2 linked regions of the Drosophila melanogaster genome follow. The protein of the gene in region 1 purifies or fractionates together with the protein of each later gene. This does not show direct contact. Each region holds a gene or a part of one and is shown in the gene's direction. Other genes may lie near its edges.

The links.
Region 2: the proteins of shf (region 1) and Pcyt2 purify together in Drosophila melanogaster (affinity purification with mass spectrometry, with the first as the bait; one large-scale study listed by BioGRID). This does not show direct contact.

What each region holds. Positions count from the first base shown.
Region 1 is NC_004354.4:6,772,105-6,788,050, reverse strand, and holds the start of shf (shifted), read left to right. Parts: upstream 1-8,391; 5' UTR 8,392-8,640; intron 8,641-13,088; 5' UTR 13,089-13,099; coding exon 13,100-13,490; intron 13,491-13,610; coding exon 13,611-13,868; intron 13,869-13,941; coding exon 13,942-14,136; intron 14,137-14,789; coding exon 14,790-14,990; intron 14,991-15,011; exon of another isoform or gene 15,012-15,105; coding exon of another isoform or gene 15,106-15,264; intron 15,265-15,327; coding exon of another isoform or gene 15,328-15,824; intron 15,825-15,946. Other genes in the region: C3G guanyl-nucleotide exchange factor, read left to right, coding at 1-461, 531-700, 803-955, 1,239-1,895, 3,316-3,427, 3,497-4,161, 4,273-4,441, 4,519-5,088 and 3 more; Coq7 (coenzyme Q7), read right to left, coding at 15,106-15,264, 15,328-15,824. UniProt on the Drosophila melanogaster protein: Required for normal accumulation and movement of lipid-modified hedgehog (hh) morphogen. May act by stabilizing the interaction between heparan sulfate proteoglycans (HSPGs) and hh, HSPGs being required for diffusion of hh morphogen.
Region 2 is NT_037436.4:1,546,709-1,562,166, forward strand, and holds Pcyt2 (phosphocholine cytidylyltransferase 2), read left to right. Parts: upstream 1-6,784; 5' UTR 6,785-7,188; coding exon 7,189-7,302; intron 7,303-7,369; coding exon 7,370-7,693; intron 7,694-7,752; coding exon 7,753-8,460; 3' UTR 8,461-8,607; downstream 8,608-15,458. Other genes in the region: Pcyt1 (phosphocholine cytidylyltransferase 1), read left to right, coding at 4,086-4,580, 4,770-5,093, 5,157-5,918; CG12099 (uncharacterized protein), read right to left, coding at 8,861-9,295, 9,355-9,509, 9,564-11,006, 11,081-11,174; Pex10 (peroxin 10), read left to right, coding at 12,124-12,396, 12,451-13,077; CG7879 (uncharacterized protein), read right to left, coding at 13,475-15,458.

The sequences.
Region 1 (15,946 bases):
GGCGGCATTGGAGCGGCGGCGGAGATCATGGGTGCGGTCACCGCCTCGCCGGGAGCGAGTGTTCCCGGTACTGGAGTCATGCGCGTTTCGGCCGCCGAATCAGCTGCCCAGCGTACTTCGTTGCCGGACATAGCGCTCACGCCCAAGGAGCGCGACATACTGGAGCAGCACAATGTGAACCCGATGCGCGGCTCCCACAGCACCGAAAGTATCCTGCGCGACACGAGTCCACCGCCGAAGCCACCGCTACCCAATAGGGCCAGTAATCCGCCGCCGTTGCCACCAAAGCGACGCAGCCAGCCGAGCGCATCAGCTGGTACAGTGGGCGTAGGCTGCTCATCGTCGACATCCACCTCCAATCAGGCCAGTCCACTGCCCTACGCCCAGTCCCATAATATTAGTCTGAACTCGGACCTGGACTGCAGTTCCAATATCTCGCTGCTGAATTATGGCGTGGATCGGTAAGTGGCTTGCAGATTAAAGCAATCACTAGCAATCACTACAATAATTGGTGCACCCACATTCCACAGCCTATCCGTGCGTTCACGGTCACCGGATGAGAATAGTCAGTGCTCCTTTGACTCGGCGTTGAATCACTCACGCGAGGAGGAGGACCAGCAACAGCAACATCAGCATCTGAGGTCATTTCCAAAGTTGGCTGCGATGATGGACGAAGACATGGACAAGATGGTCAGCTACAGTGAGTATTGCCGCAAGGCTTCGCCACTCCCCTCACTCAGCTCAACTCGAGTGGTGGCCCCCCCAATCAACGAATCCCGTACAGAATCCACCGGTTACGCAGGCGCCGCAATCGACGACAAAACGCAGACACCACTTTCGACTGGTGGTGGTATAGCTGGTGTTGCTGGTGGAACTGGAGGAGCAGGCGAAGGTGTAGCTGCTGCAGCGTCTGGTGACGGGGAAACTAACAGCAATCGCCACTCAAACGAATCGGGTACCCAGAACATCTATCATCGTACTTAAAATCCCGCTTATTATTTTGTATCTGTTGCACGCGCCCAATGAATTCCCTTCCAAATTTTTCGTTAGGCGTATTGTATACATGTTTGTCCTAGATGCTGTAAATAGTTGGCTTTATTCTCCCGCCTCCGTAATGATCCTTTCCACAGATTTCCTCCGGCTTATTATATAATTTCCGCTTGGTTTTGGCTACCCGTTCCCCACAACGAGAACTGCATTTTTGACCATTTCTAACACCACTCTCCTTCCATCGCCAGGTTTCGTGTCGATGCGTGAGTTTCGCACTTCCACACAGACGACGGACTACAGTGTCCAGTCCTCCACGAAGTCGTCCAGCAGCAATTCGGAGATTGCGTTCAGCATCAGTGAGTCGACGGCGGTCGGCAGCAGTAGCGAGTACCAGCAGATTAGCCAGTTGGTGTCGCACAGCCAGCGTCATATATCCTCGAGCAGTAGCAGCTGCACCACCACGACCACCAGCAGCAGCACAACCACCGGCTATGGCAGCAGCGAAGTGGAGCAGCTGCAGCAGCAGCAGCAGCAGCAGACGACGACGACGCCGGCCGATCTGGCGCCCGCCTTGCCGCCAAAGAGCATCCAACGGAGCAGCCTAACCCGCCACGACTCGCCCGGAGTTGGCGATGAGCTGGACGAGGTGCAGTCCTCCTCCGGCTGGGCCAGCCATCGGAGCAGCCAGTCGGAGGTGGCCGAGCTGCGTCAGCTGTCGCCGCTCCATCACCTCAATCACCATCCGCATACTGCGTCCGCCGGTCAACTGCAGCAGTGGCACTCCAAGCACCACAGCCTGATCGAGGGACCCCGCCTCCAGCTGGCGGGGAGTGGCAGCTGCAGTGCGTTCGATCAGCGACACTTGGATCAGGAGCCACCGCCGCTGCCAATAAAAAAGAAGCACAGTAAGTCAGTTTGCCCACGATGCACACTTTATTTACATCGATTCTTCCTATTTTTCTTTCTTATTTTTTTCCGTTTTTTTTTCGATTTGGTTTGGTTCTGCATCTCGTACCGTGTGTGTGTTTTTTGTTGTTGTGTATATTGTGTAAATTACTTTTATATCATTTTTTTTTTTTTTGTCATTTTCGGAACCGCCCAGGCCAGGCCGAGCGGTGAGTCAATGGGTGTTTTGTTGAGCGCATTTTCAGGGTTTCCTGCATCACTGTCCTCCTGTTGCAGCAGTATCCATTCCATCAGATCCATTTGATAGGCTACTCCATTGTTAAACCCAAACAAAAATCAGACGAAACAGAAACACCACAACAATCAGACCTCCAATTAGTTAGTTAAACAAATCAATCAGTCAACCAGGCAATCAGTCAATCAGTCATCACCTTTTATATGGGTAGCCAGGCAGAGCAGTCCGTTTTTCGAGATTTGTTTGTTTCTTTAAGACCATTTTATTTATAGCACATACCCGCATTATCGCAAACCCCTTAGAAATGCTGGCGACAAGAAAGTTTGCCAAATTGTTGTACGCAAGAGTCTAACCCATCTAAATTATCGTTCCAACCAACATCTAGTGTTTCAAAGTGTGGCCTTTTCGGGTAAGTCTGTGTGTGTTACTAGAGGACCAACACGAAACAAAAACACTAAGCCAACTTTTGCTGCCAAATGCCAAACAAAAACGAAATAAAACAAAATCACCCACGAAACAAACTTTTTTTGCACGGCGCCCTTGGAAAGCTCGCAATGCTCTATTCCCTACCTCAGTACTGAATGACACTCCTTTCGATTAAATTTGGCTTCATTTCACCATTGAGCAGAGATTTCCATGGTCCAACCGAATGGGAATCTAGTGTGTAAACACAAAGATAGCTATTAAACTATCCTCTTTCGTTTTTATAATACTTTACATAAGGTGAATACCCTTTGCTATCCAGTTAATAACCATGATGGAAAGAGCATTTCGAGTTCGCTATTGGCTTCTTGCTCTGCTAATAACTTTGCTGCTGCGCCGCATTCGTATTGACTTGACGCCCGAACAGCCACCTGTTTGCAGTTTCCGTTTCTAGTCCCAAGTACATGGACTGAGCAACAGTTCTGTGGCTTCCATTTCGCTCCGCCTAACCCGCTGTGTCCGTCCAGAGCTAGTATCTCCAGTCCAAAGCCCCGAAAGCTCCTGCTCTGTGTTACTATCCAGTCCTGTTACTCGTTGTGCTGTGTTGTATGTTGCGATTCCTGTAGATCTGGTGAACAGACAAAGACCTTCGGGATGTGGGTCCAAGGATCGATCGATCGGCTTAGTTTTCGTTTCTGTCCCCCGCCACTGAAGCGTAAGAGTTGCTAACGATTTCATCTTCCCTACCCTACCGCACACAGTTCTGGCGTACATGGAAATCTGTTCGGCGTCCACGCGATCCATTGAGCAGCATCGTCACACAATGCACGCCTGCAACATAAGTCGCAACATCTCGCACAGCCAGACCATGAAGTGAGTAAAGTTGTGTGTAGCTAGTAGTTACTAGGCGGTACTAACCTTATTTTTTTGTTACCTTTACAGCATTATGCCCATGAGCAAGGAACTGTCGCCGGAGCTCGAGATGCCACCTGCCCTGCCGCCAAAGAACTACAAGCAGCGCAAGGCGACAAGCATGGTAGCATCACCCACGCTGCAGCCCGTCATTGTGACCACGCCACCGCCGAGTCCGAAGCCGACGCTGGGCGAGAATGGGTCGACGGGCAGGCCGGACAGCCGGATGGCCACCGTATGCGAGGAGCTGAACGATGCAGTGGCCAGCGAGGATGCGATGCCGGAGCCCCGTTCGCCCGTGCTGGACAGCAATGAGAATGTGAGCGCCGTCGATGATGGACAGACTTTCTACTGTCACTCACATCAGTTGCCCGCCGCCGAAATGGAGATGAGCGAGGATGCGAGCAGTGCCGACAACCAGCCAATAACCACGCCCCAAGTGCTCGAGGAGCAGGAGGAGCCAACGGCGGAGTCCCGACCACTGGTCGCTGTGCACGAGTCGGTTAAGCCAGCGAACGTCGACGAGGATGAGGAGGCGGAGCGAGCGGATATGCTGATCAACATGCTGGAAGAGGTCAACATCACACGGTACCTGATACTCAAGAAGAGAGAGGAGGACGGGCCCGAGGTGAAGGGCGGCTACATCGATGCCCTCATCGTGCACGCCAGCCGTGTCCAAAAGGTCGCCGACAATGGTAGGCATTCGCAGCGCAAGCAGAAGCAGCAAAAACATACCAAATATCGTTCGCATGGTCATTTACCCAACTCCTCTGTTGTCTCTGTCCATTTTCATTCCGTTCGTGCAGCATTCTGCGAGGCCTTCATCACCACCTTTCGCACCTTCATCCAGCCGATCGACGTGATCGAGAAGCTGACCCATCGCTACACATACTTCTTCTGTCAAGTGCAGGACAACAAGCAGAAGGCCGCTAAGGAGACCTTTGCGCTGCTGGTCCGAGTCGTCAACGATCTAACGTGAGTTGCCTAACCACCATTTTTGGAATAAACTAAGTTGGTACATACCCGCTTATCATTCATTGTTCACCATGCAGGTCGACGGATCTAACCAGCCAGCTGTTGAGCCTGCTGGTGGAGTTCGTCTATCAGTTGGTTTGCTCTGGGCAATTGTACTTGGCCAAGTTGCTGCGCAACAAGTTCGTGGAGAAGGTGACGCTGTACAAGGAGCCCAAGGTGTACGGCTTTGTTGGGGAGTTGGGCGGAGCCGGTAGTGTCGGCGGAGCAGGAATCGCCGGCAGTGGTGGATGCAGTGGTACAGCTGGTGGTGGAAACCAGCCTAGTCTGCTCGACCTCAAGTCGCTGGAGATTGCCGAACAGATGACGCTGCTGGATGCGGAGCTGTTCACGAAGATCGAGATACCCGAAGTATTACTATTTGCCAAAGATCAGTGCGAGGAGAAGTCGCCCAACCTAAACAAGTTCACCGAGCACTTCAACAAGATGTCCTACTGGGCGCGCTCCAAAATCCTGCGCCTGCAGGATGCCAAGGAGCGGGAGAAGCATGTGAACAAGTTTATCAAAATCATGAAGCATCTACGCAAGATGAACAACTACAACTCGTATCTGGCGTTGTTGTCGGCCCTCGATTCGGGTCCCATAAGAAGGTAGGTTCTACTGGCCCACTGAAGCTATTGATATACCATTGATATGTTGATATACCATGTCCTGCAGATTGGAGTGGCAAAAAGGCATCACCGAGGAGGTGCGATCATTCTGCGCCCTCATCGATTCCAGCTCCAGTTTTCGCGCCTATCGACAGGCGCTGGCCGAAACTAATCCGCCCTGCATACCCTACATGTAAGGATCTGATCTGATGTTTCTTTTTTTGTTAGAATCACGAAAGCCAAAGCTAATTATCAATTCGTTCGTTCCAGCGGCCTAATTCTGCAGGATCTAACGTTTGTGCATGTGGGCAACCAGGACTACTTGTCCAAGGGCGTCATAAACTTCTCCAAGCGCTGGCAGCAGTACAACATAATTGACAACATGAAACGTTTTAAGAAATGGTAATTATCAATTTTCATTCAATTATAATCACTTCTTTCACTTCACTTCACGCAATTTTCTTTTTCTGCTGCAGTGCCTATCCATTTCGACGCAACGAGCGCATTATACGCTTCTTTGATAACTTCAAGGACTTTATGGGCGAGGAGGAGATGTGGCAGATATCGGAGAAGATCAAGCCGCGTGGACGCCGCCCCGTTAACTATTAGTCTTCAAGCAGCAACAGCAAAACACCAATATTATATATGATAAAGTATATACACCGTATTAATTAAACAGTTCAAAACGGTTGCCACGTCTAGGAGGAGGATCAGCATCGGGAGCAGCCAACAACTATTCTAATGGGTCTGAGCAATAATGTTCGCTATTCTCTGTCTATATATATACAATTATACAAGATATTTAGCTGTAATTACCAGCCGATGCCGAATCGGAAATACATATACATACTTACTTAAGATGTAGCGATTCAGATACGGATACGGATACATGTAGCCGCGTACAAATAACGAGCCGATCTGTAGTTTAACTATTAAGCTCTATGAGTCATTGGGTCGATGGACCTAACCTCAGCTAACTCCCCACCAATATTCGAATCCGAATCCCTGTCTGCGAGTCCCAAAAACTTTTTCCCGGACTTTTGCCAGCACTAGAACACCAAACTAACTAACTAACTTACTTACCACCAGAGACAACCAATCAAGAAATCAGCAATTTTCGCTTTTGTTTTGAGATCTCTTTTTTACACAAGAACACAACGAATTTTGAAAGCAAGCTACGTGAACGTAGAGGCCAACCGACAAACTATATTCGACGATATATGTAGCGATATCTCGGACTATAAATCGATGCAATCCACGAGCAGAACACCAAGCGAACCCTAGCACAAAGCGCGTTATATGCAATTCTCTCTCCAAACAACCAATATTAAATACCCGTGTGTGTGTATGTGTGTTAGAAGTTATTCAAATTGAAATTGAACTCAAAATCAAAATCAGAGATTTCAGAGTGCACGAAACAGAAAACAGAAGGCGGTATCTATCGATCAAATCAATCAATCAATGAAATCAATCAAAAATTCATTTTGCGACTCAATTAATTGAAGAAACTTTTAAAGTTACAAAACAAAACAAAATACAAAAAATACAAAAAAAAAAAAAAAAACAAAAAAGGCGAGGAACCTGTGGAAGAGATTAACTAAATTCAATTTGCTTTTAAATGTACGACTAACATTAAAAATATTTATGGGCATGTAATAATAGTTCTAAATAACGCTTTGACTTCTCCTTTCAATTCTGTGAGGAATAAATTTATTGATATTGCGTGTAAAAATATTAATCATGAGAAGAAATCTGAAAGCAGAGTTAAAACTGAATGAAATCGACCTCAAGTTGTTTTTACTAAGCAATACTCTGTCTCGTCTGAGAATAATGTCTTCTTATTTAGAAATGGGAAACAGAAAAAAAGGCTGCTTACTTGAAGAATTTAATTCCCGATCACCATAGCCATTTTAATAAACAAAAAGAAAAGTCAATTTTTTTTTTTAATTTGTGTTGAGTGAATTCGATCTTCTTTTTGCTGCTGCTTCCGCTGCCGCTGGCGCATCAATTGTGTTTACTAAGCTAACGAACCTAGGGACAACAATTTATTCTTGTTTTTTTTTTTCACCTATTTTTAAATTAAATATTTTGTATATGTAGAGAAAATTTTCAATTGTAAATGTATTTGTATTTAAATGTTATGTGTGTATTCATAAGAATGAAAATAGCTACCACAATCAATGTATTTTTCCTTTATCTGCAAAACGCATTTTTATTGGGGAAAAGGAACATGGGCTACGTTGCTTTCCAGAAGTCATTGAAATAAAAACAATTGTCGAAATAGGATTTTTCCTTATTGTACGGCCAATAAACACATATGACTATTTAAATTCGAAATAAAAATGTTCGCATTTTCGATAAGGGTGTAAGTCATCGAAATTTTCGATAAAATTACCGTTTCCATGTTTAAATATAGTTAAATGGGAAATTTAATTTTGAGTTTAGTGGGGCATGGCATTCTAATATTGTTCAACTCTCTTTGTTGCTATCCAAAAGAAAACTGATTATATTTTTCAAAAAATTTCAAAAATTTAATAATTTTGAATGGGCTTTTTCAATAACTTAGCCGAAAAGAGTGGCACTGTTTTGTACGACTTGTAAACAGACACATTCGCATTTATAACAGAGCGTAATGACAATTATTTAATTTTGTATATATAGGATTTATATCGCCAAAAATCTGGGTATGAACTTTGGCCAAAAATCGATCATTTGTAGCGGACGATGTTTTGGGAAAAAAATCAAATTAATTATTTAACCCATTTTTTTAAACAATTAACAATCTGCCTTTGATACAAAGAAGCAGTTACTAAATTTAAATTGTTTAATGCTTTTAAGAGCGAGGTTGCGGCTTGAAGCGGTTTGAGAGAATTGTTTGAAGGTTCGAGAGAGGCAACCGCAGTAGTGATGCCAATTTGGCTATTTTTTTTTCTGTGCAATACAAAGCGCCATTAGATTTTATGTCCTCACCAAATACCAATACTCAGAAGCACTTTTGTATAAATAAACTATGGCCAACTGGTTTGTAGAGTTCAACGAATGCATTGGAAGGTACGTACTTTCTATCAACAATTTTCCAAAATAATCATAATTTATTGTACAGTTCTATACGCGCCTAATTTTATGACAGTCATTTCATTAATACTTAATATTCGATGGGAATTTAAGGGGAATTTGGCAATTAAGCGTCATGTGTTCTTCCTTTCTTTTTAGCAGAGCGATCCGATCGAGGGAGCGGGCATCACTGCGCTGCGATCGAAACGTTCGCCGGTTTTCGTTGGTTTGTTCAGATGAGCTCAGGAGCTGCAGTGCGACGGTCGCGCCACGAAACTTTGCGGGATTTTTCAAGTGTCGAAACCGACTCTTTTCGCGTTTGTGTTCAAGCCCCAAAGGAGCTTTCGAGCCAACGAAATACGTGCAAAGTTTAAGGCTCATGTAAATCGGAACATAAAGGACCAACAAATCAAGCTTTACTTGTTTTTTACACCCTTGTATTTTGTCAACGAAACGACTGTTTGTTTTTTTTTGTTTCAAGCCGGCGACAGCCAACGAGTACGTAAAGTGTGCAAATTTGAAATTGAAAACTAACCTGTGATCCTAAGTTTATGTGATTGTTGTGAAAATATTGCTAGACATGCAGAGTTTTAATCTCGCACTAGCGCAATTTTGTGATAAGAACTAACTAAACCGCTGAAGTGCGAAAGCACTTGCATATTTTTTACCCATATCAATGGGTATCTCACCTGGCCATTCAAATCACCTTGCTCGATTGATCGAAAGATCGAGAGTTGATGTCCAGATTGTAGGCTTAAGTGCAATTGAAAACGGGCAGAATTTTGCATGTGAGAAGTGCACAGATATAAAACCAAAACAGATAAGCTAAATTAGCGAATATAACTTTTTCGCAGGCAGATTCTTGATCTTAACTTTCCCCTAACGGAATGATAGTTTGGGCCATTTCGAAACTAAACTGATAGTGCCAAGATTATTCGAAAATTTGTCGTAAAACTAATACCCAAGTGCCAAAGCTACCGAGGTATGTAGGGTATCTGGGATGCCCGCTGGTCGGCTGTACTTGACATGTTCGTTTTGGCGCGCTCGAAAGGCGTGAAAGTCATTGTCCAACGTTGGCCATTTGATTGCCAGCTCCTTGGAGCTGTATGCTGGATGCGGCGATCTGCGAACTGGTAATGAAGTGGACTGCAGTGGAGTGGAGTGGAGTGGAATGCCTGACTCTCCAGCATGCATACATATAGACACACGATCGCCTCATCGGAATCGGAATTCTGTGGCTCTCAAGTAGCTTCTGCTTCTGACTTTGCTGCTTCTTCTGCTTGTCCTGATGCCCATGCTGCCGGTTGTCCGGCAGCCTGCGTGTCTCGCTGCGCTGCCCCCTCTCCAGCTCCGCGTCCACCAACCTGAACTTCAACTCCAACTCCAACCTCCACCTCCTGCGGCACTTGAGTCCACTTGGAGACAGGCGTTTTTATCCGCCTGTTGTCTGGCTCCCCTCCTTCTACTTCTACCCCTCCTCCTCCCACTCCCTTTTGCCACTCAATTGGTGATCGTTATCATCAGTAGGAGTAGCAACCAGGATTAATGGGCTGCGCCAGTCTAGAGCATCACGAATAGGCCAACACCCTCTAGGTCAGGTGTCACAGCTATGACCTACACGGAGAAAATAATAATCTTAGAAATTAGGCATAATAACCTTGAGCTGATGCACTAAAATCCAGCAGATACTTTTGTATCTTATATATACTTTTGTATCTTATAGATACTTTTGTATCTTATAGATACTTTAATATCTTGTAGATACATTTGTTCCTACAGATACTTTTACTTTTTCTTAAAGTAAAACACACATGAATGCTCAAGAAACAATATGCTTCCAATTGGCCAATGTCCAAACACTTGATGGGTATTTAGCAAGTCGACTGTGGCCGTCCTGTCTGCATTATTTGCCCAAGGTGTTTTTGTTGGTGTTTCACACAGTCGCTTGGTGTTACTTTGTGTGTGCCAGTGTGAGTGTGTCGCTGTTGTTTCATTAAGCAAACAGAGCTGCAAGTGCCACTTGTTGCTGTTGTTGTTGTTGTTGTTGTTACTGGACATCATTTAAATCGGTAGCCGGGAAAGTATGTAACTCTCCTCACTCGCTCATCCTTGCTCATCTGGCTTGCTCTTTCATTCGAAATCCTTTTAGCCGATGACTTTGTCTTTTTGAGTCAACAAATTGCTTGTACTCTCTATACTACACAGGGAGAAACATATGATATGTTTGGATATTTTCAAAGCACTTGATCCTGATATCTGATCTGAGCAAATTCGTATGTACTTATATATCTGTAAAATAAGCCTAAGATATCCAAAAAATATTGTGTAATATCTCGGTTTCGACACATTTGTTTTGGATAACTACTGCATGGGTAATTTGGAATCGATAGGGTTTCTTTTCTCGGTGTATGTCATTTTTTACGTTGGGATTGTTTATGAACAACTTGCCTCTCGCTTGCACCTGCAGTACACCATTAATGGCTGGCTGTGAGTGTGCGATTTCCAGTGCCTCTCCTCCGCCCCCACTTCCTTTTCCAGTCTCAGTTCCATCCCATCCCATCCGATCCCACTCCACTCCGACTCCAGTCCACTCCAGTCCAGTCGAGTCCACTCCGCCACTCCAAGGGGCAGCTTCTTGTTCTCGTTGTGTTGCCTTTTGTCGTACCTTGTGTGTGTGTTTGGGTTCTTTAATTTTTTATTTTCACGTCTCATCGTCGAGTATTTGTTGTTGCCCCTGTGGATGCTGCTTCTTTATTTTCTTGGTAATAAGGTGTGAGAAAGGCAATAATCGTAAAGAGCTAACAAATTGTTGTTGTTGCGCTGCTGCCGTTCCTACTTTGATTGCTACTGCCACTCCACCTCCTCCATCTCCTCATCTCTCTTCTTTCACGCTAAAATGTTAATCTGTCCCTTTTCCTCCAGCTGAAGCAATTATATCGTTGACGACAGCACTAACAATGCATGGCCATCTTCATCTTCATTCCATCGACCTGATACGGTGTTTGATAACCACTTCCCTGCACTGCACCTGATCCTCTCACAACCAAACGAAGGGAAAGTAACAGACACGCGAATTCTTCAGTCCAACAGTAGTTGAGTGCTTGCTAACTGCTCAGTGTAATGGTGAAAAGGGGTTAAGTTAATGCTTATATAGATATATATGTTTATATATATACACTTTACACCTTTATGAATATCTCCCTATTAATTGCACGCTGACTAAGCTTTCCTCAGCCTGCGCTGCGAATGCGCCTTAGCTGGAAATTCCAATTCTGATTCGGACTTAGATTGACCATGAGTGGGATTATCTATGCGCCGGTGCCGGCTATCGCCATCATGTGCTTCCTTATCGGCCGACCGACCATTAATTAGCACGAAATAAAAATAATTTCAAAACAAAGCGTGAACATCGTATTTATAGGAAATCGAGGTCTGGCCCGGTCCCGATCCCGAGATCCCCACACGATCCCGATTTCGAATCCAATTTCAATTCCAATCTGTGATGGCCATATGACGTTCCCGTTTATGTTCTACATACATATATTTATATTGCGTTGTAATATGCCAGCTCCATGAATTACTTCCGCCTACGATTTCTTAACCACTGATTCAATTACTATCTGGATATACACATCGGATATATTCATGCATGCACGCTGGGCATCCACAAGAGCAATTAGTTCACTTAACGAATTCATTTCCCAGGGGCCGTTTTGCAGATAAGTTTGGAGTTGGATTTCGGTCTTGCTGCCCGATGATCCCAGAGCACAATCTTCGAGAGTCCGAGCCCTTTGAGTCGCTGGACGATGTCATTATCTCCAAGTAATTCCTCATAATCGCCATGTTTGATCTTATTAAGACAGCTTAACTTGTTTTCTTGCCCATCATCGTCGTTTGCCCTGTCCCCGGATCTCGAATCAACCCATTCATACGTGATGGACGGGACATGGACGGACAATGCTCGATCGATCGCTTGTCCAGTCAGTGGTGCTGTGAGTTTCCTCAGTGATTTCTTCAGAGCCCTATAGAGCTTGGAATTGGAAATTGGAAATCTTAATGTGAAAGCCAGCCAACCTGCTCTCAGATAAAGCCACTTTTAAGCTAGGCTTTTAGATGATGCGAATTTTTTACTCATGTGATAAGATATCTGAATAAGAATTTGTATTTTAAATGGCCAAAGAAAAAAGGTCAAAGTGTCATCACTGGGTCTCTTTTGTCCGTTCACTTGTTGGCCGTGTTAAACGTCTGGCTTCTGGCTGTCCGGTCTGCCGTGTAACAAGGCTGGCTGGCTGGCTGGCTGGAGTTGGCCCTCGTTGACTTGGGTAACTTCACACCGGGCAAAGTGCTAACGACTTTGTACCTGCTCTTCCTTCACTTCTGCATCATTTCGAGAGACTGCCGTTTAGCGCTTCAATCGGGCCAAGCTGAATGAGGTTTTGGGGAGGAGGGTTGGGGGGGTTTCGCCGAGGGCAGTCCATGCACCGGAATGGGGACACTTCAGTTGCTGGTTGGCAACTTCGCTCTTCGGTTATGTTTTATAACTCACTTGTGACTCTTGAGTTAAAATATGTAGTCTGACAGTGAAAAAACCTAAGCGATTCAATCACATATATATGTATGTACATATACATATGTATATGCACTATTCCTGGAAATCTAAAGTGCTAGCACACAGAGTATGCCCAATCCCCTACAGCGGATAGATAATTCCCTCGTCCAGAGCAGCGAAACCGAATCGCAAATAGATCGCGGGTCTGCAAATATGGCAAAAGATAAACAAACTGCATGGGTGTGGGATTGGCAATCCGCGATCGGCAATAAGCAATCAGATATCCAATATTTGGCGGGGATTGGTTGCGAGGTGGGGGTGGTCTGGCCAGGCCATAATGCACTCACTGGCAACGTTTACTTTTAATTTCAATCTCCGTTTCGGTTTGCTTTGCCAGCTGGGGAAACTATGACACATCAGGGCATCGGCTGCCTGGTCAAGTGGTTATATCTGGTGCTGATCGTGCACACGCTCCTCTGCATCGGCCAGCTCGAGTGTCGCCAGCAGCACCACAATCGGAATAACAATAATAATAACAGAAGAGCGGACTCGTCCAGCTCAGAGGAGGGCCACGGCAACACCAGCGATGGCCTGGACAACTTCGCAGATCAGGACGCCAGCTTCGTTGGCCATGGACACCAGCCGCGTCGGGGTCAACGAAAGAAACAGCAGGGAGGTGGAGGAGGAGGCAGCGGCGGCGGCGGCGGAAACGGAGGAGGCGGTGGAAGCCGGCACAATCGCAACGAGGAGAGCGGCATCTCGTTGTGGATCAATGAGCAGCAGCTCAAAATGCTTACAGGTTGGTGGTCGCTAATGCCTATATGCTTGTCTTCAAAAAAATATGCATATGTCCTTAAAAAAAGTTGGTAAATTGTACCTGGACGTACCTGGACATTAAACCATTTCTCCTCCTCCACAGCGCTCTACTTCCCACAGGGCTACTCGGAGCGCCTGTACGCCATTCACAACAGCCGGGTGACCAATGATCTGAGGGACACGACGCTGTACAACTTCCTGGTAATCCCATCGGAGGTCAACTACGTTAACTTCACATGGAAGTCGGGGCGCCGCAAATACTTCTACGACTTTGACCGCCTGCAGACCATGGATGAAAGTATCTTGAAGGCGCCAACGCTGTCCATTCGCAAGAGCGGACGCATTCCGCAGGAGCAGAAAAGTAAGTAGAGCGGGCTGCTGCGGCAGCGGCGAAGATTGTCAGAGTGCGGCAACCAAGCCTCATCCCAAGCCAGATTTTAGCATATTCCTGCCCTGCACCGGCAACAGCTCCGGCACCGCGTCCTTCAACGTCGGCCTCAAGATCCAGACGCGCCACAACAAGCCGCTCTCGGGCACACCCATTCGCCTCAACTTCAAAAAGGAATGCGCCCACAGAGGTGTGTATGATATAGACGCTTCCAACCCTACTTCACTAACAACTTTGCAAGGTAGTGTATATGAAATATCAAGCAATGCTTTTATCTAGTCGATAGTAATTGTAAATTAGCATTATACATACATGTTGTGCACACTCCGCCCATCAGCCATCCATGCGCCATCCCAGCATGCCATCCCCGCCCACACGATTCCATTCCATTCGATTCGATTCAATCCGATTCCATTACCCCACGTAGTCGCTTTTCACGAGTCCCCTGCACCCAGCTCTTCACTCTTTCCACAGCACTAAATTACTCGGGCTATCAAAGAGAATCTGGCGAAAGTAACTACCTAATGACATTATCACATATTCAAGTCACAAGGAACTATATAGCCTTTATGAGATATGTTATATGAAATTGTAAATTTAATTGCATTCATTCTTGAATTCGAAAATTCTTCAAATTTGTTCCAAATTTTTCGATAGTAAATTATTGATTGATAGCCCGCAAAAAATATATAATTCGATACGATCTACCCTTTGCTCCCACGCCAACCGCTTTTGTATCTATCTATCTATGATCTATGTATCCACTGTCTACTCGAACCTGCCCCTCTTTGTGCTTCCGATGTGCTCCGTTAAGTGTGAGTCCAAATGAGTGTTAAAATGAGTGTTTATGCCTCGTGACATGCGAACGATTGAACTAAACTAAAAAAACTTAAGCTCCCGATCCAGAATGCAGCTTGAAGTGCGGCAAGAACGGGTACTGCAACGAGCACCACATCTGCAAGTGCAACGTGGGCTACACGGGCCAATACTGCGAGACGGCCTTCTGTTTTCCGCAGTGTCTCAATGGCGGTAACTGCACGGCGCCGTCCGTCTGCACCTGTCCGGAGGGCTACCAGGGCACGCAGTGCGAAGGTGGTAAGTAGACGCGACTATTATGGACATTTAGCTCTATCTTTAATGCTTAACACGGTTAGCTTAGCGGAACAGATAATTTGATTTTGATATATACAGGGGGCCCAACTGTTTCAGCCTAGATCTTCTTCGAGATGGCAATAGCCGTCTTGCAGCCAAACTTGATTACCTCGGTCATGGCCTGGTAAAAGGGCGCTTGCTCGGCACCGTGATCAATGCCCGTGTCGTGGTGCTCCTGCTCCTCGTCCCGGAACTTGGTGATGGTGGCCAACAGCTCCTGCAAAATCATATAACGTTGTTACTTCGTCCGTTGCTTGGGGCAGTTGCAAATGGTACTTACCTTATCCGGGTTCGGTGCCTCCATTATCTGACGCAGCTGGTCATTGTAGTGTTCTACGATCACCGTCTCCACTGCCACCGTGCAGGCCATGGCTGCCTTTTCGCCCATGAGGGCGGTTCCGGCGCCCAGCACAAATCCGGCCACGTTCCAAATTGGCGTCATGATCGTTGGACGCACGCGGTGCTGTTGAATGAGCTGCTCGAACTGTTTACGATGCTCTTTCTCCTGCTCCCACATGTGTCCGATGGTCTTGCCCAGCGGTCCGTTGCCCAGAATGGCCATTTGCCCGGCGTAAATGCGATCTGCTCCCAATTCGCCGGCATGATCGACGCGTATAATCTCATCTGTGAGCGCATTTGGACGTGGACGCAGCGGGGTGGTTTCAGAGCTGCCTCCTTCGGTCGTGCCTGCTGATCCTCCTCCAGTTGCTGAGCTTAGATAGCGCTTGGAGAGCAGGCGTGGCTCGGGCCGGCTAAGACCTCTTCTCAGCATTCCATCTGCGTAGAAAAGGAGGGTGATACGATACGCGATGATTAAGTACACTTGGGGCAAGATAACTGGGCATTATATAAGAATGAAATGTGCCTGGCGCGCAACTAATAGTATCCCATTGTAATCA
Region 2 (15,458 bases), on another chromosome or scaffold:
ACATCTCGCTCGATGACGCGTCATTTTGGTGGCGTACTTTACCCTGCGATCGTACGATTTCCCCAGCGGCAGCGTCATTCCAATGGGGCAAGTGTTAGTCACGCTACGTGCTCCACTTTCCCAAGCGCCTTTTTACCGTTGCGTTGCGTGGTCGCTCTTTTCCAGCCAAACATAACAGAGTGGCGGAGAGCGAGAGAGTGCACGCGCGTGTTTGGAGAGATCACACGCACTATCAGAGTCAGCTGTTTCGGCTTCTCAATGAACTTCGTGTTCGGTGCGTAGGCGACTGAGAAAAAGAGACGGACATATACATATTTATATATGAACAACAATAGTTATAGGGCATTGTGCAATTTTTCTAGACAATCTTATCACTCGCCTTGGAGCCCTAAAGCGCTGTAAATGCTAAGTAGGGTGCCCCAGAAAAACGTGCCAGTGTGTTAACTACAGTTCCTACTCCCAGACCGATAGTTCCCAGAGCGTTCTCACACGTAGCATCCGAAAATCACAGTTGACGTCAACTGGGTTTTTCGGCTTATTCCGTTAAGTCCATTATTGATAAGCCCACGCCCCAAGGTTATCAATGCAAATTGCTTGTGTGCACCATGGAGTACACCCCACGATCAGTCTATAATTGTACTCCGATCGTAGCTTATCAATGGCGAAAGCACTCGTACGCACGCAGATTTGAATAAAGCCCGAGGTAGTCTTTGATACTCAGTGGGCTTGGGCTCACACACAGAACTGTACTTTCGACCTTTTGCTGTTGGCCAAAAGCGAACGAACATCCAATAGGCAAACTCCAAAATCATCTCTTACTTTGCCGTGAGATTCGGCAGAGTTCTTCGGCCTGTTAGGAAATGTTAGCCCCAAACTATGAGGTTTGAAACAATAGTTAATTGTATTAAAAAATGTGTTTATCTCCTCACGCTTCCCGCATGATCTAATTTAATTTGTTGTACCGAGTTATCTGAACACATCCGGTTTTCGTAGTGACACGAAAAACGTAACTAAATAATTATATCAACCATTAAGGGTCAATTACGGTTACATTTTTAGAACGACTTGCTTTTGTTCTTAGTGTAAATTTTCCATTTGTGTAAATATTTGCAAAGATTCTCTATGTTTGTTGAGTGCTTTTGAGATAATGGAAGTGGTTCCAAGGATTTTATTTACTAGAAAATACTATTAAGCAGCACTTTATGGCCAGCTTCTTCAAAACTATATTATAGATTTAAGAACATGGCTTCAACTATGTATTCATTTATTGTATATGATTGAAGTAGTAGCAGCTAATCACGTGATTTAATTACGATCTTGCTAGTAGTTTCCCACATTCCCCGATCGCAGGGTTAGCCTGACCTCTGTCTGAAGAAAATACGTACGATGTGTAGTCCGTAGAAGTGTATTATAATGAAATAAGTCCGTGCTGATAGCGAACTTGGCCCGCCATACGTTTTGCCAGGCTGGCAAAGATCAGGCGGTGTGATTGTCAGACATGCAGGGTGTTTGTCGAGTGCTAACCATAATTAAAGGCGAATTTGTCTTATCGCTGGAAACAGTGAAACATGGCTCGTTTCCGCCAAACGCATTTATCGTGTTTCCAGATACCCGCGATTCGCGATTCGAGTGCAGCGGAAGCGGCCGTCAGGCGCAGAAATATTGTTCTTCTCCGAGATAAGTTAGCAGCAGGTAGTTCAGGGGATCTTATCTCTCACCTGCTTTTAGTGCCCGGCAATTTGGGAATCGATTTTACGGGTTCCACACTTGTCCACTTCAAATGGAAATCTCCCCTGGCTTTGTTTACGTTTGGATTCGCTTCAATGGAGGTGGCACTTCGTCACCACAGTTTAAAAGCCAAAGTAATTACAGTAGGCACTCGCCAGTGAGATTAGATATGTTTGACTTGCTTTGCTATTACTTAAGATATTTGTTTCCAAAAATCATCGTGATACGAATTCATTTATTATCGCAAATTGTTAAATCACTTATATTTTTAATCTAAACTAGTGGCACAGTGATTTGAAAAAAAAAGAAACTATAGAAATCGTGAGTCATTACTGCTATGTTTTCAGAAAACAAAGGAAATCCTAGTAATTATTAGATTAAGCAATCAAGGAAACAACATAACTTTTGTCATTATTCATATTTTCATACATTTGAAGAACTGAAAGGTTTCTTATAGCGAGCAGTGACTGTAGATCGTACGACTCTGACTTATGACGTACGACAGCTGAAGATTGCCGAAGGTGCCCGAAATTCGACTTGGCAACAGAATTAGCATGTCCACGGGGAAGGTACAATAAATTCGTTAAATTTCAAACAGCGCTTACATCAGATCCGAAATTATTCAGAAAATCTCTCGGATTTTATTTTTATGGCTTGAACTTGAACTGTAAGCGGCTTCCAAGTGACTCACGTCCAAGGCAAATCTTGAACACAAAATCAAGCACTCTGCTCCCCTTTGGAGTCGCCAGGAGGGACTCCTCCAGATAAGGTGTAGAAATCTCTGACGTATTCCCAATGCCAAGAAATATGCAGACGCTATCCACACACGTAGATACATATGTAAATAGGCATGTGTGCCACGATGAATAAACATGGGAAATCGTCTACCTAAAATTATTGTTAGCCACGCACGAGACAGCTGACCGCACAGTGGGCCTATTTACAATATTATCGAAAGAAGCATTTAAAAAATGAGGAATTTCTACTTTTTCTATGACGTATTGTATATTTATTATGAACAATTATGTAGTTCCAAGCAAATGCCCCAAAATACGCAATGCTAATTATGTACATATGTGCACATATGACGATCTTGTTTAATTATTTCGCACGCAGCATCGTTTTTTTTTTTTGGCACAAAAACTGATTTAGAACGACCTTCGGGAAATTCGTCATTGAAAATTCCCGGTAGCTGAAATAATATGTACATATGACTTAACTAATCCCAACTGTAACTTCCTGCGTGCTGCTTTTGCTGGGTGTGCCATGGAGCACGAGAGGATTGGCGCCCAGCTCTCGGGGGGAATGGGTCATCGTGTCCGGCTCACGTGTTCCGTCTGCACTTGTTTACGTAAAGTGGCGCTGCATACTCGGAACTAGTTCTGCGCTGGGTTGGCCGCCCACCCTGCTGCCTTCCCCGCCAGCGCTTCACTTGCTCATCATCCCGCTCCTATCGAGAGTACTACGTGTCTCTGTATGTCTATTATTACCGACACCGAGCCGTGTTGTTGTTTACCCGCTGTTTCAGTTGCGTTTTTTTTTTCTGCGGAATTTCTCTGGTGCGATGCGCGTGGCGAATTGAATCGGCCATTTGGCAATTAAAACTGAAATCGATTTGGCCGTGGCTCAACTTCGAAGAAAAGGGGCGTGGCTGGGGGCGCGGGGTCAGGTGTCACGTGTCGTCAGCGCAAAACAGTCAGAACTACTGCCACCCGAGTCATAAATATTTGGGTTAATGAAAAGGGAATATCTGATTACATAAAAATGGTTTCACAAGAAAGTATCTTTCCATTAGCTGCGCGAATGTGTAATATATTTTTGCTTATGCACCAATGCATTAAATTGTAGTTCAAAAATAACTTTGTTTATTTCGAATTGTTTACTGCTTTATTGGATTTTATTTATAAATTGCTTGGTAAACAAGTGCATATGTGTCGATTAAACAAAACAAGAATACAACTTGTGTTGGTTCATTGAAGTAAAATTGTTATTCCTTTTTGAGAAAACTTATTAACCCTTTGGCTAAAAGTTACAAGTTGGAGTGGTGGAAAAATTGGCAAAGGGAAATTTGAATAAAATCCAGCGAATGAAGAAATTTGATAAATGATGCTTGCAACTACATATAAACAGAATGCAAAGCTAACCAAATGCGGTTTCAAAGAAAAACTTTATAATTTCATAAGACTAAATGTGATGTAAACGAAACGTAACACACAAAATATGGGAAAGTAATGTAGAGCATTGATGGTAACCAATCTGTTTCTCGATCTCTTCCAGCTGAAAGTCAATTGAATCTCTGTTCCTCCGTCACCGCGTCGCGAAGCCGTTAAAACTGCCGCTCCCAAACATTCGCTGCGATGGCCACCTCATCGATACTCGCCAAAAGCACAATTAATAGCACATCGCCACCGGCCACGCCCAGCAGCAGCGCGTCCCCCGGCTCCACACTGACCACCCGGAAGCGGACCTACGAGATAGCCATTGCCATGCCCTCGTCCACCGCCTCCAGCAGCGCCACAAAGGTATCGGAAGTTCAGGATCAGCGCACAAACAGCCCCGGCAAGTCCAAGAGCAGGCCCGGCCAGCTGGAGAGTGTCTTGGTGGTCGGCGAGGGAGCCAGCGAGCCCACCACCTCGGCCACCACACTGCGGGACAGCACACGCACCATCTCACAAAGCGACGCCGACGATGGCGGCGAAGCGGCAGCCGCCGAGGACCTGCTGCCCCCACAGTCGGATTACCTCAACGGCGTCAAGCGGAAGTACGTCCCGCAGCAGCAGGCGTCGCCGAATCACCGGGTGGTGCCCGCATCCACCTCGCAGCAATTCTTCAGCGGGGCCTCCGATTTTGCGGTAAGTAGTCAAGAGTTAGGATGCAAAGTTAGTCTAAATCGTAGTAGCTGAAATCGTTTGAAATTGATGTTCGAGTCGTGAGTCGTATATTTCCGACGATGTGTGATAAGATCGAGAAAGAATGTGTAGACCAAGGACACAATCGTCCAGTTGAATAGCCCAACTAATCGGGAACTTTTCTTCCTGCAGACAATTTGCAAGCCGGCGCCCTACTCTCACGACGAGGAGGCCATGCTGGAGCGGGATAGATGTGACTACACTCAAAGGATCACCTACCAGATGGCCCGCTCCGGACAGACGACCCGCAGGGTGAGGGTCTACGCCGATGGCATCTACGATCTTTTCCACCAGGGCCACGCCCGCCAACTAATGCAGGCCAAGAACATCTTTCCCAACGTGTACTTAATTGTGGGCGTGTGCAACGACGAGCTCACCCACCGCATGAAGGGACGCACCGTGATGAACGGCTTCGAGCGATACGAGGGAGTGCGTCACTGCCGCTATGTGGACGAGGTATGTTCTGCCCGGCACTGATTAGAGATCTTTCAGTCTATAGCATCTTACTCTGTCTTGCAGATCGTCCAGAATGCGCCATGGACTCTGTCCGATGAATTCATCGCCGACAACAAAATCGACTTTGTGGCCCACGACGACATTCCGTATGTAACCGATGGCATGGACGACATCTATGCTCCTCTCAAGGCGCGCGGCATGTTTGTGGCCACGGAGCGCACTGAGGGTGTGTCCACCTCGGACATCGTAGCCCGGATCGTCAAGGATTACGATCTGTATGTGCGTCGTAATCTGGCCAGAGGCTATTCGGCCAAGGAACTCAATGTGTCGTTCCTGTCCGAGAAGAAGTTCCGGCTGCAGAACAAGATGGACGAGCTGAAGTCGCGCGGCAAGCGCGAGCTGAGCAAGGTGAAGGTGGACATCATCACCAAGTGGGAGGAGAAGTCGCGCGAATTCATCGACACCTTCCTGCTGCTGTTCGGACGTGAGAACCTGAATCATTTGTGGAACGAGTCGAAGGGCAAGCTGCTGCAGGCACTCAGTCCGCCGGGCAGCCCGTCGGGATCAGTGAACGGTGATGACACGGAGGGCGGCGAGGACTACAGCGAAACTATTGACGAGTACTTGGAGATGGCCGAGAAGTTGAGCGGGGGCAGCGGCAGCGGCAGCAGTGGATCGCTGAACGGCAAACAGAGGCCGAAGCAGAAGCGCTCCTCGCTGGCCCGCCGCAGTTACCAGAGTCTGCAGAGCCAATCACCCGACTTGGAAGCGGATGGGGACGAGGATGCGGATGCGGATGCGGAGTACGAGCGTCGAAGCAATTGATTCTATTGCGGGGCAGCCCGATCTTTTCTTCTTCTCTTAATGTCTTTAATGCTATTGTAAATGGACTTGCTTGCAACTAGTTCGACGGCACACTATAGATGCCCCAGGATCGCCACGCAGGCTCCACGAACACACACTTATATTTACTCTAGCCCTAAGTGGTATTGTAATCCCAATGTTTTAGTTGGCACTCGTTCTCCTCCTGCCTCAACTCCACCTGCCCATCTCCATCTGTGAGAATCGAGGGAATCCTGTAGCTAATTTAGCTGTGTGTGTGTGTGTGTGGGACAAGCAACCACCAACGCGGAAAAGACTCATTTTTGTATTAGGCACTCGACGGACTGTGCACGAAATCAATCGGCAGTGGCGGCAGATTCAGGTGCCGAAAATATCTAGAAATATTTATATTAAATTATTTCGCATAACATTAAACTAAGTTAACAACACCGCAACCAGAACACCAACCAATATAGAGAAATCCAAACAAACAAATTACGAAATACATTCGGAAAATGCAAAAAACAAAAACAAGTAATTAGTAACAGTTGGCAATAGCGGAACTATTGCAAATGCTTTGTTAAATATTTTTTGAAAAATAAACATTGAATCGAAAGGAAATAGAAGTAAAGCGAGTGGCTTGTGAATCAGTTTGCTATCTCATACGTTTATCCAGCAATTGCGCATCCGATTCAGCAGCCATCCATGGCACTGCTGGAATTCTTGAGCGCGCGCCACCGATGATGATGAAACCGTTTGCCTTGATTGGACACCCATTCCCTCGCAATTAGCTGCCCATTCACCGGCTTGAAGCGGTTCACTGATTTGTTTAATGGCGCTGCGGTTTATATATAGATGCGCACCCATCGCCTGATCGAATCGGCGGACCCGTGCCAAGTCAGGCGACCGACCCGTTGCTTCCTATTTGCTTGCGCCGCAATTTGCGGCAATTGAAGATGAGCGATGAATCCGAGCCAGAGACTTGGGCCTGAGACTGCTAGAGCCGCCTCCAAGTCGTGTGCCTCGCCAGCCGCTGGACTCAATTGTATTGATTCGCCACCAGTTGCCGCCAATTTATTCTGATCGCAGCTAGTGCGCAGTTGGGGACATCTCTCGCTCAAAGTCTCGGACTCAATCCTCGACAGAGTAGACCTAGAGGGTTATGCCGGTTCCGTCTCAATTTATGTAATCAGTCGTCCGGATGAAATCCCCTTGAGCGGACCACTAGTGCTGTACTTAGTTGTGTATACTCGTACATATATTTTTATAAGCAATGGACAGAATGCCGAAAGAGGACGACGAATCTCCAGTGTCGACGGCTCCTGCCACACCGACATCGCCGATGGAGTTTAAGATGCTACCGCTCTTTATGGACTTTGAGGATTTTGTAAGGCTACTCCTTAGAGGAACAGGAGTTGCCACATACTAATCTCTCTACCCCAAAACGCCTCCAGAGCATTTGCCAGCCTGCTCCTTTCTCGTACGATGACAAGGCCATGCTGGAGCTCGAGAGATGCGACTACACACAGAGGATCACCTATCATATGGCCAGAGCTGGGAAGACGACGCGCAGGGTGCGGGTCTATGCAGATGGCATATATGATCTGTTCCACCAAGGCCATGCCCGCCAACTCATGCAGGCCAAGAATGTGTTTCCCAACGTCTATCTCATCGTCGGCGTGTGCAATGATGAGCTGACCCTCAGGATGAAGGGACGCACGGTTATGAATGGATTCGAGCGCTACGAGGCGGTGCGCCACTGCCGCTACGTGGATGAGGTAAGTGTGTTAAACTGAACCAATGAAATGTTTCTATACACTTTTCGATCCATCACAAGATCGTTCCGAATGCTCCGTGGACGCTAAATGAGGAGTTTATCGAGGAGCACAAAATCGACTTTGTGGCCCACGATGACATACCCTATGGAGCTGGCGGAGTCAACGACATATATGCTCCACTCAAAGCGAAGGGAATGTTTGTGGCCACGGAACGCACTGAGGGCGTGTCCACGTCGGACATTGTGGCCCGAATCGTGAAGGACTACGATGTATATGTGCGCAGGAACCTGGCCAGAGGCTACTCAGCCAAGGAGCTCAACGTCTCCTTTCTCTCCGAGAAGAAATTCCGTCTGCAGAACAAGATGGACGAGCTGAAGACACGAGGCAAGCGGGAGCTGACCAAAGTCAAGGTTGACATCATCACCAAGTGGGAGGAGAAGTCGCGCGAGTTCATCGATGCCTTCCTGCTCCTGTTCGGCCGGGAGCGGCTTAACACCTTCTGGAACGAGTCCAAGGGCCGAATCATTCAGGCACTCAGCCCACCAGGCAGTCCGAATGGCTCCGTAAACGGTGACGATCCAGACGCAACAGACGACTTAGACTCTGAGGATGAGTACATGGAGCTGCCACCAGACTACGGGTCTGGTAGTTGCGTATCCCTTAGTCGAAAACAAAAGCGCCCTGATAAGGTGAATGCCTCAGCAAACCTCAATTACTCGGAGCAACCAGAGCATAAGGATGTCGTAGACGAGCGACGCAGCGACTAAAGACGAATTTGGCCTCTTCCTATCAATTAAAACATAAATAAATATGTTTGAAGTTTAATGGAACAGCGCAGTAGGCACTTTTATACATATTTAAAAGAGCTACCAGAAAAAGTATGCGCTTAAAATACATTCCGATAAATTTCAGTTAAATTATGAATATTTCTTTTGGCAAGAAAGTAAAAAGGCGTTTATTTGATATTTTACTTGCTGCCTTTATTGGTTATCTTATGTGTATTGTGAATATAAGTTGGGTTAAATTATAGATTAGCTGAATGATTTTCCAAATCCTCTTCAATGATAGAACAATCGCATTTGTTATTTAAAATAACGTTGAAATATTCGCATAAAAACAAAAATACAATAAATCTTGTAACTTCATAAGCGATCATCATCTAGCTCTTCATGGAGCTCTGTTCATGCCCGTGGCGAACAGGGGAACCATCTTCTTGCCCTTGGCCTTCTTTTGCTTCTTCGATTCCGCTGGAGCTGCTCCATTGGATTTTGCTGCTCCTACCTTTTGCTTTTTCTGGTCCAAGGCTCCAACTAAAAGTTCTCCCAGACCCCAGTGGCCCACAGATCGCTGCTCAAAGTCCTCATCGCTGGTTCTTGGGACCATTACAGCCCGTGGCGGCGGTGGAGCTGAACGGCCCCAGGCGCCCACTTGAACATCCAATGGCGCGCCACCACCTCCAGGAGAATTACTTCCAATAGTGGGCCACATCTCCTGCTTGGGACTTCCCAGAGTGACACTGGAGTATCGGGAACCGGGGTCCTGGTTGCTGATGTTCATGGGCACAGAGCCACTGGGAGCGGGCAAAGCCTCCTCGAAGCCGCACTTTAGATAAAATATCACATATTAATAATTGACACTAATGGCAGGCATTGCTAGCTCACAGTGGGAAACTCATGGGAGGAGCTTAGGTCAAGGTTAGCTGCACTGGCAATAAGTTTGCCCATCTGGCGGTCATTTATCTCGTTGATGTGCTGCTCTCGCTTGCGCTCCTCGCGATCCCGACGCTGTCGTTCCTTCTTACGATGAAGAATGTCCTCTGCGGAAGGAATACATATAAGCATAATGCTGTACATGGACCTAGTGGACTTACCCTTAAAGAGCTTGAGTATTCCTCCAGTGACCACTGGCGGCTGCAATTCGACTTCCACAACCGAAAACTGACAAGTCAAAGGCAAGTGGCCAAGACAAGTGAACTTGCGTCGATGCTCCTCATCCATAGAGTGCTGTTCCATCTGCACGATTTGGGCTTCGATGAGTAGCGGACCCAAGTCCAAGGTGCCGTAGCAAGCCTGAAGCATCTTCACGTTCAAGGGATGCAAGTAAATATTCTGTCCGTCGTTTGACTGGTAGAAATAATAGTATTTATTATGGTTGCTCGAGTAGCTAAGGCTGCTGGATGCTTCTCCCGACGAGATGGAGGCATCGTCTGACTTCTCAATATCAATCTTGGTCTCGGTTTCTAGGCAAAGTACAGGTGCTGTCTCCTCTTCATCCTCTTTCGGATCAGGTTTCTCGACACCCAACTTCTCAACACGCTCCTGAAGCATCACCAGCGCTTGCTGGATGAACACATCCTCGGGACAGGAGACATCCGATTCGGCTAGCAGTTCGTTACGCTCCCTCTCGATGATGGCGGCCACATCCATCCGCTTGGCTATTAGAAACTTTGAGTAGCGTTTAGCCTCTTCACCAGCGGACACAAAGGGGAAACGTTCAATTGTTTCGCCCAATCCTGCAACATGATTTTCAATGTACATGGAGCCCTTGCGACGCCGCATCAACTGGAAGGTAATCTTCTCGCCCACTTGCAAATCCCTCAGCTGTTCGATGGTGCAGCTCTTCAGATCTCCCGCGTGGATGGCGTCATAGCAGATAGGACACTTGCGCCAGGTCTTGTCGCTCAGCGAGAGGTAGTGCAGCAAGCAGGGCCAACAGTAGGCGTGTCCGCATCTGGTGAGCTTGGCAGCCACAGGCGGGTACAGGCAGATGGGGCACTGCAACTCCTCAGTGGTCTGTATGTTGATCTGCTCGATGTAGCTCCAATCGATGAGTGCATCCGGCGAGCCATTAACCTGAGCCTTTGCACCCGATCTAATGACGAACTGAAAGTTGGCCTGCAGGAACTGCTCCTTGTTGTAGCGCTGCTTTCGGCCACTCAGGCCGTGGTGCTGTTGGGCCTGATGGTGATGTCCTCGCTCCAGTTCCCTGGGCACGCAGTGGAAGTTAAGCAGATGGTTCAGATTCTGCTTCTTGCTGCCCTGTGTATACACAGAGTTCAGTTCATGGTCAAAGTCACCGCTACGTGAGTAGCCGGTGGCGGAGTAGGCTAGTCGGGAGCTGCCTGAAGCCCCGTCCTGGCCACGGGGTGAAGGGAAATCGTAACCGCCTCCAAACCCGCGAGCCTTCGGACGCTTGTCCACATTGGGACGTAGCTTTGCTGGCTGCTGTGGCTGTTGTTGCTGATCGTTGCGCGGTGTGGGAACCTGATTCCTTCGACGGCTGTGTCGCTGCTTGTTGCTGTTGGTATGTAACTCTGCGGAGGAGAAGGTTGCACCAATATTAAAACCTTTTCGGGATATAAAAATATCAGGAGAATGGAGCACCCACCACTGGACTTCCTTTGCGATTCAGCAGACGAGGACTTGCCATGATGAGAGGATTGAGGCTGCTTCTTGCTGTTGCTGCTGTTGTTGCTGTCCATCGTTGTGGATACTGGAGGTGCACTTGTCTTGGGGAATAGTAATAGTATGGGTGCTGGACAGCTGCCAGTGGGCGGCTAATTGCGTCTTGCCTAGGTCTCCACACGGAGTGCGCTGAGCAAAGTATTCTCGTTGCGGATTCATGTTTACTGAGCCATGATTATCCAACGGGTACGACTAGAAATAGTACTTGCGTAATATTTCCAAAAAATCAAATGCGGCTTTTGCGAGTAAGTGCAGTTAAATTCGAGGCGAAAGTACTTTTTTAAGTACTTGGACTTGCGGCTCGATTCTTCTTCTCTTTTTCTAGCACTTGTTTTGTTGTTCTATTAGTCTGTGGGTCGTAGTATTAGTAGCTGTAATCGTATTGGTGCCTAAAAAGGTGTGACGTCTGCGCTAGCTGCTCTTTGCGGGTCCAAAACCGAATCTTTCCGACAATTACCACTTGCCAATTGCACACACACTGCCGACACACGGTCTCTGCTATCGCGGGGTTTCGATTTGACGTCTCGAAATCAACAAATTTTGATGGAAAAACCAAATATCCTTTGGTCAGGGAAAAAAAGCATCCGTGATGCCCGATAGAAAATGGCTGACTGTAAGTGCTGGAAAGTGCCTCGCAGAGAGCTGATGGTGTGCTTTGGTATGGTCGTGATTCGTCAGAGAAAACTATCGCACAAGGTAATTATATATAATTATAATGTCACATTGGATATTTAAATAATATTAAAGGAAATACTTTTTTTAATTTAATACTTCGTATAATACGTTTGAAGTGAGCGGAGCTGTGTTGTGTAAAATGTGCTGTTGCAAGTTGCGTTACCGATGTTCCTAGAAAGTGTCATCTCAATTAGGCAAAAGTATAACAGCTGATTTTGTTATCTGAGCCGCACTTTGATCGGCCTTTGAATAAGATATGTTAGAATCAACATTGCAGTAACCCCCAACGACATGGACTTTCGGAACGCCCGCGCCCGGCAGCCGGAGATCGTGAGATCCGTGCAGAAGGATGCACGGTACACCAACGAGCTGGCCGAAGACTTGTCCGATGTCTTGCGCCTCACCGGTCCACGGAACTGGATAAAGTACAACCAGATGTGCCGACTTCTGGCGGAGCTCAGTTACCACGGATTCGCCTCGGCCAATAACCTTCAGACCCTCGGCGAAGAGTACACGGGGATAATACAGGTGGACGGGAACTATAAGCAGATTCCCAGCAGATTGGTAAGTAAAGAATACTCGAAAAGAAAACATTTGTAAACGTCGCGCATCTTTTAGTTACAACTGATTGCCATTGTCCTGGAGTTTGGTGGCGACTCCCTGTTCCAACGATTGATGCAAAAACTTGACACCTACGTGGCCAACAATGACGAGATTCGAACCGAGATCAAGCCGCAGCTAAAGAAGATTATTCAGAGGCTCAGGCAATCTCCCAGCTACGTAAAGGCCCTGCACAAGTCTCTATTCTACTTGGACGCCAGCAAGTACCAGCTGTCCAAGCGCACCACGGGCATCAACTACGTACTAATCCGTCACTGGCTGCAGCCGGAATTCTCGCTGTACGGCTACAAGATACTGGGCGTAATCACTTTCCTGCAGGTCAGCGTTTCCTTGGCCATTAGTGGATGGGATGCCTGGAGAGAGCACAAGCGCCAGCAGCTAGAATCAATAAAGCAGGCTGGAAAGAATTTCCTGCAAAGATCTTCGAGTACAAAGGACGTAGATCCAAACACCCCACAGTGCATCCTTTGCCTGGAGCCACGTTCTGACAGCAGTTTGACTCCATGCGGCCACATCTTTTGCTGGAGCTGCCTGCTCGAGTGGCTGGAGGAGCGGGATGAGTGCCCCTTGTGCCGGGAGTCGCTGAAAAAGTCCCAAGTGATATTACTGCAAAACTATGCCTAAGATTGGATTAAGACTTTTTATATTCATGTTATAGGAAGTATTTTTGTGTCTATGTAATATATTTTATTCATATAAATGAAACAAGTTTTATTTATTTATTCACAATTTGTAATGTCAAAAAAATGGTATAAATCTTCAACTTAAATTACGTGAAGTCTTAAAAAGACTAAAGAAAGGATGCACAGAAACAAAATATAATGATACTTCATCGTTGATGTTAATGATAGTTTCCCAGTCGCTCGCTGGGTTTTGTATGCTTAAACGCATTTCTTACACGGTTTATTCGATTTATTTAAACAAGTTTATGTACATGCTGCTTATATATATAATATTTTTGGTGTCTGGCTTAACATTATCTATTTACATTATACAATTATTTGGGCTCTAAGCTCATTGCCTAGATGATATCCAGGTAGACAGTGCGGTTAAATATCTGCTTCTTGCGGCGCGATTCGAAGGCAGACCTTGCCTCCGAAGGGGACTCGAAAGCGACGCGAGTGTCGCCGGTGGGTTTGCCTTCATCATTGAAACGCCTTATAATGTCATCCGGGCTAAGCTTGTAGTCGCTAAAGAAGCGCATGATGTCCTTTAGCTCCGCCTTGAAAGGGACATTGCGCATAGCCACTACGCATCCCGGCCGATTGAACTTGTCCGGGATTATGGATGTGGGAACGGGCACCGGAGAGGTTGGCTTGACTTGACCCTGATTGCTGGGCGAGAGGGAGCTGCTGCTCAGAGGAGGATCTGGTCGAGCGAAGGGATTGAAGTGCTGTTTAACGGGTGCGTTCGAGCTAGTGCTGCTGTTGTCCTCCCTTTCCAGGGATAGCGGTCGATCCTGCTGTTGCGATGGCTGTTCCTGCGGCTTATCAAAGCGGCTGGGTCCTCGACGACGAGACGGCTGCGCACTGGCTTTATTTCCACCTGCACCGTCATTCGCATTGTTAGTTTCCGCTTTCCTGGGACCATTTCCACCCGGCAGATAATCCATGAAGGGCTTTTTCATCCTATCAGCGATTTCCTGGGGCGTGATGGCCACCACTCGCAGTCCCCTTCCTCGAAAGCGTCTATTGTGGAACTCCCTGATGGCCAGTTTGCAACTGGCAGGATCACTGAACTCCACAATAAACTCGCCGGAGCTCTGGTTGCGTTCATTGAAAAGCTGTTCGATATGCTCGATTCGTAGGTGCTCGAGGGAAAACAGTTCACCCAAATCATTGGCTCTCGTGGCGTACTCGCAGTTGTGGACACGAACGAAGACATCCTCTTGGCGGGGTCGCTGGATGACACCAGCGCCTCCATTATCATTTGGATAGTTGGGTCCGTTCCCATTGGAATTCCCGTTATAGTTATAGTTGTTATTCATATTGAAGGGAAAGTTATTGACACCGTTCTGCTGAAGCGGCGGCATGTGGAAGGGCATGTTGCCACCATTGACAAAGGGAGCCATCATGTTGGGACTCATGTTGGAATTAAAATTGGGTCCCATATTCATCTGTTGCTGCTGCTGCTGATCTTCCGCCTGGCGTCTCCTTGGATCAGCGGCGAATCTGTTGGCCTGAATATTCTCATTCTCCTGCTGCTGCTGCTTCTGTCGCCTTTGCTGATCTTTTAGGAGCTCTTCCCGCTGATCGGCTTCCTCCTTTAGCAGCTGCTCATTGGCTCTTCGTTGCTTCTCCTTGGCATTCTGCATGTCCTCCTCGCTGCTGGATCTCACTCTCAGCTGGCGGAACCCTATATAGTGCTTGCTGGTATCCTGCAGAGCAGAGTCGGCTTCAGCTTCCCTGGCAAAAAGGACAAAGGCAACGGATTCTCGTCGATTTTTTGGACTGGGGCTCAGTAGGATGTCCACAACGGTATAGCTGGCGGAGAACATCTTCATGATATCTTGCTCAGTGGTGGTCTGTGGCAAATCCTCTATATAGAGGACATTGGTAACGGGTCTGGGAACGGGAACAGGTGCGCCACCGCCTCGTTCACCTCTGTCACCACCATTATGATTGCCATGACTCCTGCTGCCGTCCTGCCCCTGGCGACTAGCACGTTCCTCCGCCATCTCAAACTCATCGTCGCCCACGGGAACAATCTGAATCAGGCGATCTCGAAACATTGTGTTATTCCGCTGCACTGCCTTTTGGGCACTGGACACACGAGAGAACTCCACGTAGGCCACTCCGGTGCGACTGCCATTCACCATCATGATCTTGATGCCATTGTGCGGAATGTACATGCCCTGGAAGTACTTGCGAATATCGCTGTACGACGTGTTTTGGCACATGCCACTCATCCGAATGTAACAGGTGTCCGCAACAACCTGGGGCGTGCTGCCTCCGCCCGGAGAGCCACCCATGGTGGGCGACACTTTGGCCTGTGTCTGTTGCTGC